Linked DNA regions of Alligator mississippiensis. The protein of the gene in region 2 interacts with the protein of the main gene of each other region in a pairwise test. Links are inferred from orthologs where the notes say so. Each region holds a gene or a part of one and is shown on either strand. Other genes may lie near its edges.

Region 1 (10,332 bases), on a different chromosome or scaffold from region 2:
AGAGCACTGAGGTGCCCTGTGCCTGAAGAGGGAAAAGCTGCTAAGGAAGGAGCCCTAGCAGTGACTAAGGAGCACAGCTGTGGGTTGCCGGGGCAACCAAAGAAGGTCAGCTGACCAGAAGGGGCAGGGCTTGACCCTTATAAAGCCCAGCAGCAGAGGCCTGAGGCAGTTCCCTGTCAGCAGCCAGAGAGGCAGGGGCTCCCTAAGCTAGGATACGAGAAGAAGCCTGACCGCAGGTACGGTTTATGGCAGTTCTTGAGGCTTGAGCAATGTTGTTTTAGCCAGGCAGCTTCAATTTATGTTACAGCCCAGGGGCTTGTGTTTTGTTGTTGGTTAAACCGGTGGTTTGGGTGAGGCTATAAGGGGTTGGAGGAGGCCTCATAGGGGACTCACAGCAGAGTGTGAGGACCCCAGCACCAGTGCGGGTGCAGCATAGGGGATACATAGACCCAGCCCAGGGGGGGGGCGACTGAGGGGCCCCAGTGTGGGCGTGGTGAGCCCCAGGAGAGGGCAGCATGACTGAGAAGCCCAAGTTGGGCACTGTGAGCCCCAGGAGAGGGCAGCGTGATTGAGGAGTCCAAGTGTGGGCATGGCGAGCCCCAGACAGGGGGGGCAGCATAATTCAGCAAGCCCAAGTTGGGCACGGGGAGCCCAGGAGAGGGCGTTAGCATCACAGAGAAGGCCCAGAGAGAACAGGAAGGGGCCAAGATAGGGATACACCTGAGTTAACATCTGCGAGGCTTGGGCTGAGGTATTGGAAAGGAAAGGAGCCGCAGATAGCGCCCCCTGGCAGCGGGGCGGTACCAGGGCAGCCTCCTGCTAATTAACACTAATTAATTAACTAACAACAAGGCATGGCAGGTGAGTAGGTGGGTGGTTGCCCCAGAGACAGGTGTGGGCCACATTAAGGGCGGCCCAGATCATGTACCTGTTACACCTATATAGGACTTGAATTTATAATGTGGTCAAAAACCTTTTTCAGGCCTTCTTTGGAAATCATAACACAAAACAACTCTATGATAATTTTTCTATTCAAATCACCACTGCAATCTGGGAGGTTCTAGATCATCAAATAAAAGAACAGTGTGAAAATATTTTCAAGACTCCCAAAAAGATCCTACATCTTAGCTGCAATATGCTTTTAACCTGGTTTAAGTGTCCACATTTACAAACTTGTCTGCTTAAACTTTAGGCAATTATGAGTAACTGTATATTTTGATTTTCATAGAAAAGATATTGAGTAATGGACCTGAGCCATTCACATCTAGATCTCCATCTGTTCTATTAAGTGCCTAAGTTTGGCCCTGACACTTCAAAATTCAGTCTCTAGTTTTTAATCCTTTGTTTAAAGTTGATGTTATTCTGTACTAGGCCTGTGTTAAAATCTTTACTGAAAAGAAAGCAAAGCCTTTTTACAGAAAAGTGTTAATCCTGGAGTTAAATGACTTCCTAGAAAAAAAATCTTTAAAACAGTTAATGAAGAAGATAAGAGTTTGACTCAACTAATCTCCTTGCTGTCAAAAGAAGACGCAGAAAATAAATCAGCCTCAAACCACTTTTCTGTGCTGTAATAGCATTCCCTAATTCCATTTACATAGATGCACAGGGGGGCACCTCTGCAGGCCCTTTAAGACTGGAGACTTCCCAATATGGGTTCCACCACCTGAGACTATATAAGGGCTGAATCAGGAAAAGAAGTGAGCTGCAGTCTGGCGGCTAAAGCTCGTCCAGGGGTTGTCAACCGAGGGTACGTGTACCCCTAGGTTACTTTGGAAGGCCCCAGCGGTTCCATGGCAGCAGTACGGAAAAGCTACTGACACTTCTGGTTTCGCTTGTTGACTGGCTGCTAAGGGACTCCCCGCTTCTCGAGCGGCTGCCAGGGGTACACCAACCAAAAAAGGTTGAAAACCCCTGCTCTAGTCAAAAGTATGGTGCTGGACAGCTCATGGAGAAAACTGGGGTACCAGAGCAGAGGATTAATGAAGACTACAGAGAAGAGCAGTACAGAGCCAGTGACCAGAAAAAAGGAACAGCAAAAGAGAAGAGTTAGAGCTGGGTGCACTGAAGAGGTTTGAGGAAACTGGAAAACGAAACAAGCTAAGGAAGATGGTTGATAATAAATTCCATGGTTCACGGATCCAGTGGAGTGTGGATTTGTAGGAGATCTTCATAGCCAGACAGGGTCAGGACCTTAAACCAGAAGAGCCTGATGGGCCTGGATTCCCATACCTTAACCTTGCCCAGAGTAAGAGGTGCTAAGACACTACCGGTATGCAGAGGGTGAGAGATCATAGTGAGTCACTCAGTAAACACAACCCCCACGTGATGAAGTAGCATACTCTTGAATTGTCACTATTGGGCCTGACAGCCTGGAGTGAAAGACTGTCTAAATGAACCAAGAAATAGACAGTACAGCCTGGTGAAAGAGGACTATTGACTCATTAAGTCTAATGAAAGACTTGTAAGGTGTGATTTCTGTACACAACTTTCATAATGTGACCATAAACTACTAGACAGTCAGGTTTCCCCCTGTCACGAAGTGGAACAAGACAGAAAATGTATTGCCCAAATAGAGATTGTTCCACAAAGATAACTCATAAATGTTCAAGAATGAGAAGAAATGCTCCTTGGCCAAGGGCTAGACAGCTGGTATTGCACACCATCTAATATACTGCAGGTCTTCACATGACTGGCATGTCTCTCTGCCTCGTTTCTCCATGCTAATGAGGCCTTGGTATGAGCTGGATCAGGGAAGTCCTGGTTCAAATGAAGGAAAACCACAGAAATTTAGAGAATTTTCAGGTCAAACAGGAAGGTGTCTCCAGGTTTGGCAGTGACTGAATACTGTTTGTGTATTGTAATTAAGCACTAATAATCTTGCATAGGCTTTCTTTGTGTATACATTTGCCCAAAGACTCTGCTGCATGAATTAATTTAATCTTCTGCACATCTCTTAGCACTTCCTTGCTACCATTTGGTATAGCAAAAAGAGAGGTCAGGAGACAGGGGCTGTCCAGGGAAGAAAGTGGGTATGTGGCAGAGCCTGCTCAGCCATGCCCAGTTCTCTGTTGGTAAACATATGCCAGAAATCATAAATACTTTTTACAGATGCTTTAAATTGTGCCAAGGCTGGGTAGTGATCACAGCACCTGTTCTTAGGTTCAGTTTCTACTCTTTGCTGTTTTGGGTGTACTGGAGCTATACATCCTACACTTTATCATTATGATAACATAATTCTCTGAAAGAGGAAAAATACTCTGGACTGAAATCTACAATTCTAGGAGCTTAATCACTACATGTGAACACATATTCTTGATATTGTTTGCTCTTGTAATGTAACTATACTCTCTTCTATTATTCCAATGGAGGATGTAAAAACTTTGCTCAATGGTGTGTATAATTTGGAATATTAAATTCTGTTGATTGAGTTAGTGAGACAATAAATCCCTGCCAAATACTTCAAGCCACTTCCCTCCCAAATTTGCAAAAAGGCAGGAATAACAGGAAAGAAACACAGAAATGTTGGTGTTAGAAATATAGTTAGAAATGTGGCACTAGACTTATTTTCTCCTAACACTTAAGTGTATAACCTTGCCTTCTCAGGTGTTTAAATCCTCAGAATCATGGTCAGCACTTTACCTTCATACTTTGATCCATCTGGATACATAAAAATGCCATGGCCATGCTTTCTGTTTTGAAGGTATTCTCCAATGTAGCGAGCACCATTTTTAAATCTGTAGGTTCCCTGAAACATATTTGGTGTAGATATAGGGCTTGTCAATTTTCACTATCATTTCAGCCTCGTTTAATAAAACTGTTTGAAACATATAAATGACTCGTTAGAGAGGACTGCGCTAAATCTTACCAATCCGTTTCTTAGACCATATGCATATTCTCCTTCATATGTATCACCATTGGGTAACCGAGCTCGTCCATGTCCATGCCGTTCACCTGCTGCATTGCGCTCACCATCATACTCCTAATTAAAAAGAACAAGATGCAAGGTGGGTTTTATGATTATTTTTTGTTCTATCAGTTGCATTGATAGGAAAATTTTTTTTTTTTAGTCTCAAGTAATGCCATTCATCTGCTGAGAGGGAGACTGGAAGCTGAATTCAGCATGTGTAAGAAAAGGCAGCCACTTCTTGGTTGTGACCTGCTCCTTTTCTGAGTCCCTTGCTTAGGTTGGTCATTCTCAACCATGATGCTAAGGCAGCCTGGGGTGCTTTGAGATCCTTTTAAGGGTATAATAGCAGGGGTGCCATGCAATGTTAGCACTGTCAGGTGTGCACACCTGATTCCTGAGATAAACCCAGAGATTTCCAGTAGGAATCCATGGTGTTAAAAGCACTCTGCCCTGTTGGGGTCTTCCTGAGTTTTTTGCAATGGAAGAACTGCTCTACTCTTGTTCTGCAGTCAAAAAACATGAGTGAAAGCTATGAGCTGGCAGTGCTCGGGGGTGGGGTTCTATAAAGGTTGAGAACCCCTAGACCATGTCCTTTCCCCAAAAACTCCCACCCTCAAGCAGGGATGTACACCGGCTCCTGCTTGGCATCTGGAAGCCACCTTCTTTTCAGCACTGCCCCTCCCCCTGTGTCCACCCATCCATTCATCCACCGATCTGTCTATCCAACCACCCATCCGGTCAAATGCACATCCGTCCGTCCATCCATCCGTGCATCTATCTGTCCATCCGCATATCCGCCCATCTATCTGCTTGTCCGCACATCCATCCATCCATGCACCTACCCATCCCTCCACCTGTCTGTCCATCCATCCATCCACCCATCCATCAATGCATTCATCCATCCATTCACTCATCTATTTACCTGACCACCCATCGGTCCATCCATGCATCTTTCCATCCACTCATCCATCCATCTATCTAACCATACATCCATCAAGGCATCCATCCAGCTGTCTTGTCCATCCATCCATTTACACATCCACCCCTCGTCCATGTGCCCACGCCCCCCAGACCCGGCACCCAGCGGCGGGGTGGGGGGCAGGTCTCTCGCGCGTGGGGGCGCTAGGACCCGGCGGGGGCCATTGGGGCGAGGGGTGGGGGGCGCTACGGCGGCCCGCGCGCACCCCGAGGTCGGTCTCCGCCTCCTCCTCAAACTCTTCCGAGCCCAGGTCCGACATGGCGCCGCAGCCGCGTCACCGTCGCCATGGAGACCACCCCCGCAAGGTGGGGAGGGAGGCGGTTAGAACAGCGAGCGGCGTCGCCAAGGCAACGCGGGCACCGCCCCGAGCTCTTCCGGGCGGGGGGTGGGGCTCGCGCTGCTGTCCCGGGTCCTGAGCGCGGCGCTCTTAGCCCCGCCCCCTCCCTGCGCAGTAACCCCTTCCTGCCCGGCGCGCAGCTGTGGACATTGCCCGGGCTCGGTTGGCTGCTGCATGAGGCTGGGGGATGACTTTCCTGCTGTCACGTGGGTCCAGGGGGTTGGGAACCTCCCCCACAGTTGGGGGAGCCTGGCTGGGCCATCAGCTCTCCTTTTTAATGGACTGGGTGTTACCATTAATCAAGTTAACTTTTCTTAGGGCAATTTTGTTTCGAACTCCTTGCACCCATCCTCTCTTCTCCTATTTCTCACCCCCCTGGAGAGTCTTCTGCTTTCTTCAAAATCATCCTTCCACCCATGGAAACAGCTAGGGTTTCCACTTTAGTTAGGCAGGTTAGTTAGTGGGAGATTGGGCTCTGTCCCTGCTCTGTGCAGCCAGAACGCTGGAAAAATCTTTCAAAAGCACTGTGGGTATTATACTGTGGCACATGTGTGCGCAAGAAAATATGGTCATTTCTATTGCAGAATAAAGGTAATGAGTCTGTCTCATGCCATTTAGAGCGAATCTCTCTCATAGTCGTGCAGCTTCATTTCTGCCCTCTGGGAGTTCGCAGTCATGCAGAATGGTTGGGCCTGAAATCAGTAAATATAAAGAACATGTTACATTTTAAACTATAGCTACATCCAGCATTGTTTCTCTTGGGTTCAGAGCTACTTGGACATTGCAGGTCACAGATCTTATCTGTTCATTGTATCATATGACTTCAGCTTGTAAATGAATCTTTATGCATCTGGACAACAGAGCAAGCGCTCTGCAGAAGCTGGGTGAATCTTATTACAAACTGTGTTTTCTTTTTAAATTGAAGCCAGAAGACATATGCTAGACTTCGCTCTGCTGAAGTGTCTGAAATCCAACCGGAAGGATGAAGCTGTCTTAGGTTAGCACTCCTCCTACTAAGGAGAATTTGTGGACAAAAGAACTTGTGTGCGCCTGAACAAGCATCAAGGCAACATGTTTTCTGTCTGAGTACAAGAACAGTGCATTGCAGGTAACTTGTATGTTTTGATTATTGGCATATTGGCAAACAAGCCTCAGCCTTCAGCATGTAAGATTATTGCATTAGCAGTCTGGAAGGATTCTCTACTTCCCATATAAACCACTGGAGGAATGGCAATCCAGTTTTTTCATTAGACCATTCCTAGTATCTGACCAACAACTTACTTTCTCAGATGCCAGGGATAGTTCAACAATAAGGTAGGTTGTTGTCTGTTTAAAACCATGCGTCTCTAAACCAGTTAGTTTCTAAGGGTGTAGTAACATGTTATACTTAGACCATACTAAATCTGTGGAAAGTTAGGTGGTGTTAACGTTCGAACATGCTGTGAGTGGTTGTATGTTAAAGAGTAATAATGTTTCTTGCCTACAGAGCTCTGACCTGCCACTAGAGGTTTGCCAGCAAGGAGGTGGCTAGGAGCCAGGACACCAAGACTATATCCCTGCTGAAGGGGGAGGGAGGAACAGTTTATCCTGGGATGCTGGAGGATTGCATATATCTCCTTTAAGCTCTGTGGAGCAGACTAAAGTTACTCTAACATGAGCTAGATAACACAGCCCAGAATTAACCATCATGTGAATTGACTTAATTCTGAGATGCTCAGAGGAAACTTAGCACAACTTAACTAACTTTAATGTATGGGTGCTTGTATGTGTCTACACATGCACTTTAATGTGCATTAGCCTATTTTAATGCTTATTAAAGCATCACAAAAAACTATTACCTTTAGCTCATGCTCATTTTTGTAGTACCTTACAATGAAGGGCATTTATAGACATGATCCAAGAGGCCTGGGGTGGGTGCTTTAATTAGCATGGCTCTAAGAACTGCACTAATTAAAGCACGTGGAGTGTCACGTGTATCAGCATCCCCACACTTAAAAATACCAGCAATGGTGCTTTAACTACAGCTTGTCAAACAAGCTTTAGTTAAAGCGCCTCTGCCACCATTTTTCAATGTGGGGACACTGATAGATGTGATGCTGGAGTCTGCTGGAGTGCAATAATTATCACGCTTCTGCAGATTCAATCGTGTCTGCTCCAACACGCTGTAATTAAAGCACATTGGAGCAGCCTCCCTGCATGTGTATAGGGGCCCATGGGTACTAGATTTAATACACATTACCTATAGCACATTAATTAAACATGTAGATACACCTGTTGTTTTAAATGTCCTTAGTATGTTCTAAATGAAATGTGTAACTTCACTCTAGGGCAATGGTTCTCAACCTTTCTAGATGTAAGGTACCCCTTGTTAGACTCAAAGTATTCCTTGGAAAATGCCAGCTCTTAGTTTTTACTCATTTTTTGACTATGAAGAAATAATTGTGAAGTTTTTCTGTTGCAAAGAAATCAGAAAGATCCCAGAAGCTCAGAATATTTTTAACACTAAGGATCCTATTTGAAATGTCTGGATTTATTTTGTGAATCATAGTTGCATTCCTAACAATACTAACATTACATGGCACCCTGTTGCAACCTTGAAAGGATCTTGAGGCACCCCAGGGTGACATGGAAAGCTGGTTGTGAAGCACTGCACTAATGTGTGACCCTACCCTACCTTCTGATGGAAGCAAGATAGCAAGATATCAGAATTTATGAATGAGGGATGTGATCTGGTTTGGAAAAAAACCCTATGTTCGTGTATAAACAAAACAGATGACAGAACAAGGAGCAATGGTCTCAAGTTGCAGCAAGGGAGGTTCAGGGTGGATATTAGGAAAAAACCTTCTTACTAAGAGAAGGGTGAAGCACTGGAACAGATGACTTAGAGAGATGGTAGAATCTCTATCCTTGAAGGCTTTTAAGACCCAGCTTGACAAAGCCCTGGCTGGAATGATCTAGTTGGGGATGGTCCTGCTTTGAATAGGCAGTTGAACTAGATCAGGGGTGGGCAAAATGCAGCCCGGGGGCTGGATGCGGCCCACCAGGCCATTCTACCCAGCCCACGGGGCCCCTAAAAAATTTAGAAAATTAATATTAATCTGCCCTGGGCTGCCTGTCATGTGGCCCTCGGTGGCTTGCCGAAACTCAGTAAGCGGCCCTCTGCCCAAAATAATTGTCCGCCCCTGAACTAGATGATCTCCTGAGGTTGGACTAGATGACCTTCCAACCCTAATTTTCTATGATTCTATGATAATAGTCATGGGCTATTAAAATTACTATCAAGTTACACTGAAACTGAATTGTCACAGACAATAGGAGCACAAGGGTGCTGCATGGATGCTAAGTGACTATTTAGGTACCAGCGTGACAATTAAAGTGTAAGACTCCAAATCCCTTGGACATTTATGGTTTCACATGTACAACTGTCCTGCACTCTGATTAATGGCTCTCTTTTCGTCTAGTAGGCAACATACTAACATGGACCTCAAAATGGCCGTATCCTTAGCTAACAAATTCCTCATCTTCTGGCTTTAGAGTTTGGTGTATCTGTATTAATTTTAAAATGCTTTGTACTTGAATTCTGACATAGTATGAGCAAGCTTTACACTTAACTCACAATTGTAGGTTTATTTTGCTTCTATGCAAATTGCCAGTGTCTGGCTGAGGAGGTCCAATTTGAATAATAGCTCTGCAGTTACTAAATAACTGCGTATTATGCAAACGGCTGTTCTGATTACTTACTGCTGTCAGTGCTTGATATCCATATGCCTGCTTTAAATATAGCCATAAACCTCATCTCCTCCTTCCTCAACCCTGATAATATCACATGTTTCTCGTGCCTAAGGAATGCTAAGCCTTTCTGCTCAGTAAAGTAAAGCCTTTCATTTTAAAAGTAGTTATTTTTTATGCATGAGAGGCAAATTAATCCTAAGCAGTTAAGGGGGGTGTAGGTGTGTGGCTGAATATGCATCTCAATAATTTGAAGGCAATCCTTATTAAGTTACCTGGACTAATATGTACTTTAGCCTCACAGTTAACATAGCTAAGGGTATAATTCTGTCCAACAGGATGCACTGACAAGCTATAGCACACATTTTCCATATCTGTGGTTAAATACACTTTCTCTAGGTAATGAACGTTTCAGACTGCTGTTTTGAATGGGAGTGAGGGGAGTCATGTACAAATTTCTATGGGACCCACCCATTAATTATTTCTTCTGAAAACTCAAGCAGCCTTAAGTTTAGTGAATAAAGTGTTGCTATTGGAAGGATCAGTGTGCAAGAAAATATGGTTTGATCGAACTGTCTTATTATTTGCAATTTTTCTTACCCAAGGAGCTTGTCACATCCTAATGACTATATATTATAGAAGTAAATACAATTCAAGATCATATCATATGTGAATATATTTTGTAGCTTCTGGTCTTCTGACTGCATTTTATCAGGGATAGTTAATGCCTGATTTACATTACTAGTATTACTAGTATAACAGTGATTTTTCTATTACATTACTAATAAGCAATATAAATCTATTACATTACTAATAAGTAATATAAATTTAATATCCCTGATAAAATGCAGTCCTGCTTCTGTTGAAAGATATTGCTTATCCAGTAGTGAAAAATCACTGTTAATGCCCAATAGTACAAAACTTCATACAGGAATTCTTTTATTTTGCTGTACCAAAGGGCCAAAATTAAAACTCAAAGATGCATCTATTTCAGGTGCAGTGATGGGATTTCTATAACCCACACTGTAACAATTTAGAACGAGGAAATGGAGGGATGGGTTGCTTCTCCAGCTCTAAGAGGCTAGCTGTGCCAACTTGGCTAGAAGACTGCCACCCAGACAGAAGGGGGCAGCAGCCAGGCATAAGTAGTCTTGGAAAAGAGCCTTGAAAATGGCCTAGGCTAGCACAGCACGAAGACACAAATTCCCAGAGAGGAGCTATGAGTATGAAGGTATCCAGGCAAAGGTAGGAGCACCCCAGGGGTCAGCAAGGGGCCATAAAGGACTTTTCAGGCCTCACATAAGGCTCAGCAGAACTCTAGATTTTTTTGGACTTTGGGAGAGGTGAGATCCTATTGGTCCAAGTCAAGGAAAACAGTAG
Region 2 (10,453 bases):
CTACAAAGGTTGAGTACAAGATGCTTTTCTTTATAGGAGCGCACTACGGAAATGCACTTCAGACAACTCAGAGGAGATCAAGATTGCTACAACATTAGAACATGCACGTAACGTCAGGCTGCTAACCTGCTTCTGAATAAATAAAGAGTTATTCAGTAATTAAATTAATAAATAGTAATCCGTGGCTCAATTTTCAAAAGCTGTTACCAAAGAGTAGCTTTTATTGCTTTAAATAACCATTTGGGAATTGCAGCTTTGGCACCTGTGTTTTTTTTTTGCCTTTTGCTTTTTTCAATTCATGGCTTGTGGGCACATTTGGGCACCCCCTGGGCCTGTTAAGCCATAGCATATTGTAAGAGCAGGTACTCTGGGAGCTGCAATTCCCCGGTGGAGGCAGACTGGGAGCCCAGAATGGGAGCCAGTTTTGGAGCTGTAAAAAAGCCTAAGCTGAGTAGGGGAATGTGGTAGGGATGGAAATACCTTGAAGGGTACGATAAAATTGTCTCTCTCCATTTCTTTCGTTTGAGAAGCTGGAGAAGACTGTCTTGGTTATTATTGAGCAAGTTGTGTTAATTTTCTCTTGTTTGGGGATTTTTTTTTTACTAAATAATGGAAGCCCTGAGGCAAGAGAATGCAAATGGACTAAATGGAGTTTTATTTGTACTCCCTCAAGCAAGTGGAACTGTACATCAGCTGATTAAGGATGCCTGTAGCTCACAAAACATTCAGGCCTTGCTATTTGCTGAGATGTGCATTTAATTCCCTTTCTTTGCTTTTAGAGGCCAGTTGAGTTGCTGCCGTAGTTTTAAGGTAATGCAAATATGCCATGCTGTATTAATGAAATGGCCATGCTGTAATAACTGGAGTCTAGCAGACCCACCCTGATTATGAGCTCAATTGTTGGAAAAATGGGTGAAGTTCAATATAAGTGACAATAATCTGTAACAACATAGCTAGTAAAAGAGTAGGAAAGGAAGACAGAAAGGTTGGATCCGAACAAACAAAGCAAGATTACAAAAAGCCCTTTGGAGCAGAGGTGCCCATGAGTACATGGCCCCCCTCAGGAAGAGGGCTGTTACCTCAAACGCATAAAATTTTCCATCTGTCCATCATCTTAGGCCCCCCCCAGCAAAAATACCAGTCAGTGCCTATGCTTTGGAGCAAGGAAAAGGAAGATAGAAGCAGATTTGCATATTGCATAGACAATTCCCTCTCGTTCTGTCCCATCAGATCAGCATCTTCATGTTTCCCCCATTGAAGCCATTCATAATTTAGCTGCTCCCTGCTTGTCCATCCTATTACATGAATTTGATTTTGAATGTTCCCTTTACTCCGGCAAAGACGGGAGCCTAGAACATCTGTTGGCTCAAGGTCAGCCTTTGCATTTTCCTCTTGTACTGCCCCACTAGATGGAAAAATGTCCCCTTCAAAATGTACTGTTCCTGTACTCTTGTACTTCAAATCACTTGTTAAGAAACATCTCCACCGTGCTACCAATGGAGAATTGCTACTTGACAGTGACCTAGCACCTGGTATGTCAACTTCAAATTGCTGTGGACAATTGATGTCATCCAACAATGGACTGGGCAAATGGCAAGTCTGTCCTAATGGATCCTGTTATTACTCATTCATCCTGCCTGGTATTTTTTTGTTTTCTGTGGTTTTGTTTCACCCATGTGTTAACAGCTTATTTCCAGTCTGTGGGCTCTGAGAGTCAGGAACTATCATTTTCTATGTACTTGTACAATGTTAAGTACAATGGCCCACCAACCTGGTCCAGGCATCTCAGTGCTACTGCAATACAAATAAATAATAATAATAATAATAATTAGTAGCCCCTACCTCAGTGCCTCTACTTTGTCTTTGTGAATGAGCAGCACACTTAAACATACAAGGGTGTTATTTTCTTGGACACTTCAGAAAGCAGGATTCCCATATTTTACTACCCAGTCCACTTGAAGCCTTCACAATGTCTAGTTAACTTAATTTACTACACAAGCAACTGGGGTCTATCTTGTTATGCACAGACATCATTGGGTTTTTGTGACATCATGGTAACTGTACAAGAAAAGCTAGGCTGGGTTGTGTTTGCATCTTATCCCAAAAGATCCTGTTAGTTTTACTGTTGTGATATGTATGCTTAAAGGTATCACCAAACGAATATAGTTCTGCAAGAATACCCCTTTCTCCGTGGAATACTGTATGTAAAAGGAACGATCACATGCCCACCATCATAGAAACCTACTGAAGTCAGAGTAAGGGGGTCATCAGCATCAGGCCCTGCATCTGCAAAGTGTGCAGTCTTGGCCGGTGCTTTGTGCTGAAGTGCAGCGTGGGGGTGAGGAGGATGGAGTATGAGTTGGAGGAGTGTCTGCTGATTTGTGACAAATTTTAGGCAGTAAAAACAAGGGGTGGGAAGAGTCCCTCTGCCTTGCCTACTCCTCACCTGACTTCACTGGAAGAGCAGCAGAGGAGGCTGAATCCCACCTATTTGACTGTGTGTGTGTAGATACTTATACTGTCTGAACAACCGACAAATACTAGTGTGACATCCTGTGAGATAAGGAAGTATTATTGGCTTCTTGTTGCAAAAGCGGAACCAAGGCATGGGAGGATTGGCCAGATAAACACGCTGTTCCTTCAGACACACTCAGATTAGACTTTTTCTACACGATCCACAATGCTCAGTGAGGCAAAGCATCCACTCATCTGGGGGCAGGAACATGACTGTATGTACTCGGAACAAAGTCAAATCCTCTCACGCTTCACTCCAAGAGCACCGCGGGTTGCAGCTACTTTAACTCCAAGGGTTGCAGCTACCATTTTCCCCCGCCCCACAAAACAAAAATCACAAGGAAATTAAAGACAATAACTTATTTTAATACAATTCTAGGTTACAGTTTTAAATAAATATGTTAAGGCTAAGAGTTTCACATAAGCAGCAATTCACCTCCATTCTGCGTATTACAAATGTATCTCTTAAATGTTTCTTTTAAAATTCCACCCGTAGAATACAAATGACTCGACATCGCTGTGGAAGAGAAAGCCGTCTCCTGCTTTGATCTCCAAGTCTACAAGGATGAATGTTGTATTATTGTTGGCTTTTGTGTTAATTTTATATTGAGAATTCAAAATAACAAACATACAGTAACGCAGTGTTGAGGCTGCAGGTTTAAAAAGTTAGGAAATGCAAAACAAATAGATCTAGAACATAAACTGCGAGTTTTGAAATGTTGTTCTCTGGCATTAATGGCTGGGAGCTGACAACAAATGAGCGTGCTGCAGTTCACAACTCTGACCAGGAGATGCTGCTGCTCCCACTAAAACCATCTCATGTGCTCTGCCATCCAGACCAGGTTTGTATACTCCTTCCAAATCTTGCCTTGTGTTCTTACAGCACATTTTTTTCTTTAGTCTAATAATTTTGTCTTAATTCACATGGCTCCACAAGGGGCCTAGATTTTCTTTGCTTTTTCTTTCAGGAGGGTAAATCAGGACAAAAGCTAAAGGTACTCCACAGGAAACTTATTTTTGTAGCTTCACCACTGACCTTCTAAAGGGCTGTCTCTTGCAATTTTTCTGCATCACGTTCCTGGTGTCCATGCGGTGCCAGAATCCCTTTGCAACCCCAAAACCTCTCAATTAAATCAGCGAGAAGAAATTTAAGAAGTTTACACTTGAAGGCCAGATTTTCCGAACTGCTCAGCACCCAACGTACAGCCAACTCTACAAGCTGTTCTGAAACTCTGGCCACTTTTAGATGCCTACATGGACACTGAGCTCCTTTGAACTTTCTAGCCTCACATACAGTTTGGGCATCCGAGAGATAATAGCAGCGTGTTCATCTGGATTGCTCTAGCTCTGCTGAGAGTATCTGTGGGTTTGGGCTGCCAGTCAGCAATTGAAGCCAGCACTAACAGGTGCCCTGCAGCTCTGCTGGGCTGCTGCATACAACTGAGTTCTCAGAATCAAGCAGGCTTTTTTCTGCCTTCCCTTCCCTCATAGCTGTTTAAATTTAGGCTGTTCTGTGCAACAAAGTTGGGGAGCTTGGTTCTTGCTCCTTTACCTCCTTTTGCCATCATGTAATGAGTAACTGGCAGGAGAAGGTGGTCTTGCTGCTTTTTTGTTCCATAGCTGCCAGTGATCTCTCTGCAACGCTCATCAATTTAGATGTTAATTGCTACAGTGGGGCTGAGCTAACAGCTTCTTACAGAGTCAGACATTCCCCAACCTTAGCCCCAAAATAACTTTAATCTTTTTTTCCTATGTAGTCTGTTGGACTAAATCAGAGGACAGTGGGATGGAGGAAGACTCCTTTCCTTTTTTTGCATCCCTATGACAGGTATTTAGCAGAATTCGCAGACTTTGTTTGAATCTAACAGGCCCTGCCCTGAGCACTTCTGCTATGGCCTCAAATTTATGACCACTGGAGTGTCAACTGTGCTCTTTGGCACCTGCACCACCCCAACCCCAAGAGAAGGACTAATGCAATAGGAAAAATCTTGATGTTAATTAGTGGGAACATCTCTAAAGTTAGCTGCCCCTTATTTGCCAGCCATTCCAAAGCAATGCAAAGAGATTAACAGGTATCCGTTGGCCCATGTTTCTAGACTAAAATAATTTCCATCTCCTCTCTTTTAATAGCAAATACATGTAGACTAACCTCAGAGTCAGTTCAGGGCTGATCTGTTTGTCCGTCCTGCAGGGAACGGCCGGGGGGGCTGGAGAACTACAGCATTATAGCAGCAGGAGCTGGAGTCTGTGTACGGTACCGCGAGCTCCAGCTGGGGTAGCCATAGCAACTCAAGCAAACTTTCACAACAGACAAGCCCATTTCTGCAGGGAAGAGATGTGAGAATCACATCCAGGGAACAACACTGTCAGGGTTTAAAGGCTCCATGAGGTTCATCACAGAGTTGGCAATCAAATCTAATTGCAATCATTACTGGAGCAGTACAAGCCTTTTTTTTTTTAAGTAAAACCTTGGCGTTCACCCTGTGTATGGGTATCTATGTGTATAAATTTATATTTGATTTGTATTTAAATTAGAAAATTGATTGCTTAAGATAAATACATGCATTTTCCTTGTCCTTAGAAATAGAGGTAAACAGGTAGTTTTACTTATATAGGTCTAAAACAAATTCAGTGAGTAGATACTATTCTGTTACTTCACAGTCATAGCATATCTTTATTTTCCAAAAAGCCTCAAAGCATTTAACAACTTTCAAAGCATATGTCCAATTTAGCTGGTCTAAGTAGCTTCCTCTGGTGATTTCCAAAGGCTGGCCACTAGCATAACTTCCATGGGGAAGCGTCTCTGTGTGAGAGAAAACACAGACTGGGAGGGATACCTTCCAGAGTAGGAAAGGTGCCTGTCCAAATTACTGGCAGGGCTTGTCTCTGATGTTTGAAAAGTGTTCCTACAGTGGGATACCAATCTCTTTGGGGTGCCTAAGTGCTTTTGTCATGAAAATAGTAACCTTCAGCCCTCAATAATGAACTTCAACCCATGTTTCCATAAAGTTAGATTTGTTGTGGTTTGTTAAAGAGCAAAGGGTGATTCCTCAAAGCTACAGCTCCACTATATAAAAAGGCATTTATTTCCATCAGAGTGTCTGTAGGAAAGAAATGAAACCATAACCTTCTTAGTACGACAGTTCAGTAGCATCTGACAAAGTCGGCTGTTCCCCAGAAAAGCTTATGGCTCTGAACCAGGTAGTCTCTAAGGCTGCTTGCAGACACAAACAAAACAAAAACCATGCTTGACTTTAAATTTGGTGCCCTCCTGTGCTGAGCCCAGCACATGCCCAGAAGAGACAACATGTTACTTCGACCCAGCTCTGCAGCGTCTGTATAGATCAAGCGCTTTAGTGGGGCTTTTTTGGCGCTTTTATCTAATAGTTGAGTGAATCAGCTATTAGATAAAAGTGCCAAAAAGCCCTGCTGATGCGTCCAATCCATACAGATGCTGCAGAGCCAGGTCAAAGTAACGCACTGCTTCTTCCAGTAAAGTTTTTTTTTTCATGTCTGCAAGCAGCCTAAGGTGTTATTTTGCCATGCCCTCTGCCTAACAGTGCCATAGGTTAGAATAGACAAGATTGACTAACCTAAAATCTGACCTAAAAATCAGACCACTGAGATATCCTGAGGGTTAAGTAACTTAAGATCCATGTTCATTCGTGCTGGTATTTAAATTACATCAAGCTTTGGGGCTAAGTTCAGAAGTCAAAAAGCTCAAGGCTGAATTGATTCAGTCTTTGCAGGTTAGTCTAAGCTGTAGAGAGTGAACCAATACGCAAATGAACAGACATTCACTTTTGCAGTCACGTGTCTGCAGTGGCTCATGCCAGAAACCGGGGAGTACTAGAGTGCTCCTGCCAGGCACTGCCAAAGGGAAGGGAAGACAAAAGGCCCTCCAAGGCTTTCCCCCCCTCCCTGCTCAAGAGAAGGAGATGTGGCCAAGCCGTAGCCTGGAGCTAGCTGGAGGGTCATCAGGGTGGGGGCGTCAGCCAGGCTGAGGAGGGGGGGGGTGGGGACAAAGGTAGTGGCATTGAATTCATAAAAGGTTGAACAAGAATTGTTGTTTCTCTGAAGTGAGCATTCAACACAGCTCGTCCGTGTGTTCACTTCTTCCTGTGGCCCCCAAGGTCTCTGGGATTTGCAGCCCACAATCACAGCAGCAGGACACTGCAGGGGTGCTCATCACTTCCTCTTCCTGTTTCCAGGTACCTCTGGGATTTAGTCCATAGTCACAGCCAGCAGTGAATTTAGCAGGGCAGGGCAGCTCTGTACTCAGGGGAAGGGGAGTTTAACCCCGCTCCCTGGCCCTAGGCCCCAGCTGGGTTTTGCCTGGGGTGGCCAGTGAAGCAGCCAGTGAGCCAGCCATCACTGCTCTGGCTAGGGAGCAAAGGGGCGGGGCCAGCCCTGCTCTCTGGAACAGCCAGCCCAGCTTAGCCCAGCCCAGGACTGCAAAGCATGGAGGGATACTGAGGGACTCTGACTTAACTTGAACCAGGAAAGGGGTATGGGACAGAAGTTTCATAAACTGGTTTGACCTAAATCAGTTATGTCTGATACTACATTCAACCAGGTTTATCTTAAACCAATTTCAGCCATTTTGCAACTGGTTTATGTGCACTGAACTTCTGTTCTGTTACAGGTTTAAACCAGTTTCTGATCACTTAAACTGGTTTATGTGTAACTTCTGTCCCTAGCCTGGATGTTTACCAAAACCTGCATCATTCTCTTTCTGAAGGGCTTTTGCAACAGTTCGATTCAGTAGTTTCTTAGCCTTCACATTATAAGTGTTGTGTTGATTTTGTTTTGCTTATATTTTCAAACATTTATGAAAGTGTGCTTGAAAGTAAAAAGAACTGAGGATTCTGTACATATAAGCCACAGTTGTTTTAGTGATGCAACAGTAAAGCAGGTTTTAAAACACCTTTTGGGTCAAAGGCTCAAGGGAATTAAACACATTTATTTGTCATACCAGTAAGTACCCAATTCTGGGGACTGGAGTTGATAGCCTGGGAGACCCCTTCTAGTCCCCTCTTCCTGTCTTTAATATCTTGTTTTAGATGTTTTCTTCTGTATATGTTAATCAATCAATTTCCAAATTCTGGCATGAACTTTTGAGCTTGTTTACGATGAAAATAATAGGCCAAAGTCTCTAATTCAAAACCCTAAAGCCTGTTCAACTGTTTAATTTTGTACACAGCCAGGGTCACATAAACTTTTTTTACTCTTGAAGACCCTTTGTTCCACTGAAAATAACAGAGCGCTGGCTCCTCACTGGGACAGGTATAGCATGTGAACAAGTTTACCAGATCTGTTGAGGCCCCTCCTTTCTGTCTCTTATTTTCCCTGTACGGTCTTGGCCAAACTGCTGGAATGAACAGGGCTGATGCAGAGTGAGGGTGAAGGCAGAGATCTGAAGACACTTGAGGACAGAATACATAAGAGAGATGGTGTCAACATTTTAACCCATTTGTGTAGTTAAGACATCTCTGATGGAATAGGAGTGGGTGAGGAAGAGTCTGAGAATTAAAACCTGCATGAAAAATGTGAACAGGGCAACTGCACAACAGTGTTAGGTCCTGATGCATCTGTCAAGTGCCAGAATGTCTATTCTAAAATACTCCCCTACTAACATCCCCATGACACAGTGGTTATAACATAAGAAGAACCCCAGGAGCAGGCAGCTGATGATACCTACTTCTGTGTTCTGGCTCATACCTGACAATGATTAATGATTGGAATAGATTACATCATCTAGGCCAAAGTGCTGTCTGTCTTGCATACACTAGAGCTGCTGACTCTACAACAGATGTTAAATTCAGGGAGATTAAAAAAAAATACCCTAGGTATGCTTAGAATAGGGGTTCAATGATTCTGCCTTTCTCAGCAGTGCCTACTCCTTCCCTACCCTTTGCATTCCAGTCACTGCTTCCTGCAGCATCTACAGCACTGGGTGTAAGCCCAGTGCTTATGAAAGCTCATGCTATACATTTCTTAGTTAGTCTATGAAGTGCAAATCTACCCTGCCTTCTGCCTGACTTCAGACTAACACAGATAGCTACCTCTACTCTATTTGTCATTAAAAGGATAAATGCTGCTAGCGTTGGAGACAACACAGATCCCATGAGAACTAAACAGCAAAAGGATAAAACATGAGGTTCACATTTGAGGAGAATAGAGCTTTTCTCCTATAAGGGTAAAGTTTAGCCAAAGCACATTACAGCTGTCTTACTGGAAATCCCAGACTGCAACAAACTCCCGGAAGACCTAAGAACCACCACAAACCACAGCAAGACCCACTCCAAGTTCCAAGAGGGTTTATATGACATTGCCTTCAGTAATATAAACACATAGTAACATGCAGATATTTATTAAATAAATTAAAACCTACCAAAACATTATACCGCATGCACAATTTCTCCCTTGAGAAGAGAAGGAGAGGAAATTAATCATACATGACAGAAGTTCGTCAAGTCGCTTAATGCACTGTGCAAAAGCACTCAGATATCCTTAGTGATGATGAGGGCAGCATAAGAATCTATACAGAAAAGAAATAAAGCAATTTGTGCTGGAACTGGGTTAGTTTGTTAGAAACACAGGACTTCAAGAAGTGTAGGGGCACTGGTGGACTTTGGGGAGATGGGGAATGAAGGATGATACGCCCTAAATTCTATGCTGTAGTGCTGTAGGAAGTGTAGAGACTAGAAGACAAAATGTCAGCTGCTCACCTATTTTGTTTAGCCGAGAAAGAGTGCACTATTTTGCTATCTCAGCGGTTTTCAACTGTTTTTCATTTGCAGACTTCTTTGGAAATTTCGAATGGAGGTGCGGACCCCTTTAAATTGTAAGCGTGGGTATTCACATTCTTTTGATCATTTTTCGCAGACCCCTTATACATCATCTGCGGACCCCAGGGGTCCTTGGGCCACGGGTTGAAAACTGATCCTAGCCGCCCTGACAGTGAAGTAGTGCCTCCTGATGTCAGGGCGGATAGGATCTGGAACCAACTTCCAAGAGAAGTGGTGCTGGCTCCTACCCTGGGGGTCTTTAAGAGGAGACTGGATGAACACCTCGCCAGGGTCGTTTGACCCCAGTACTCTTTCCTGCCACGGCAGGGGGTTGGACTTGATGATCTACTCAGGTCCCTTCCGACCCTACCAACTATGAAACTATTAAAAACCACCATACTATCTCACTCTAGTGGCCAGAGTTGTATACTGTTTGCTTTAAATAGATAGGTTGGATGATTTCTAACTTCTTAAAGACTGGATTTACAGTAGCTTTGTGTATAAATTACCTTGCTCCATTTGCCATTACAAGGATGAGTAAACTGCAAAATGGAGTGAAGTGATATGGTTCACATGGAAGTTAAATGCAAAGGAGAAGCACAGCAGAGAGTCAATGTAGAAATTATAGAAGAAGCATTAGTGCTACAGAAAAAGGCCCCATCCCTAATTAAAATATAAATATTGAGATATCTGCTGATGAATTATCCTCAGTCGGGTGATAGTATGCACTTGCAGGATAGTTTTAGGCACATCACAAAATAAATTTCAGGCTGAAACATGGCACATAATTCCCACAGAATCTGTAACAGGAGTGTAAAGTAGTTCTGCATGTAACTGAATACAGGAACACACTGCATTATACATAAATTGGAGCAACAACAACAAAAGTAGCTCTAACTTTCATTCTCTCACTTAAGCATGAAAGGTACAAGGAATACTGATGCAGTCAACCAAATTTTAAATATTTACACCAGACAAAAGATTTCCTGTAATTAAAAACATTCAATAAAGAAGTAAGGGAAGGATTTACTCACACCACTTCCTCAAAACATCTTTCTGGAGACAGCATAGGACATGAGTGAGGATGATGGCCTTACGTTTTACAGCAGAGTCTTCAAGTGGATGAAAAGAAGGGGCACAGACTCATG

What was found.
Region 1: the proteins of MORN3 (region 2) and RSPH1 interact in binary tests that used the Homo sapiens proteins (3 or more experiments, as listed by UniProt). The two-hybrid records come from large-scale screens. The link is inferred for Alligator mississippiensis from reciprocal best matches to the Homo sapiens genes MORN3 and RSPH1.

What each region holds. Positions count from the first base shown.
Region 1 is NC_081824.1:299,502,377-299,512,708, forward strand, and holds the start of RSPH1 (radial spoke head 1 homolog), read right to left. Parts: upstream 5,200-10,332; 5' UTR 5,146-5,199; coding exon 5,092-5,145; intron 3,980-5,091; coding exon 3,866-3,979; intron 3,746-3,865; coding exon 3,640-3,745; intron 1-3,639.
Region 2 is NC_081833.1:2,653,933-2,664,385, forward strand, and holds the start of MORN3 (MORN repeat-containing protein 3), read right to left. Parts: upstream 4,882-10,453; 5' UTR 4,664-4,881; intron 1-4,663. UniProt on the Homo sapiens protein: Assembles a suppression complex (suppresome) by tethering SIRT1 and MDM2 to regulate composite modifications of p53/TP53.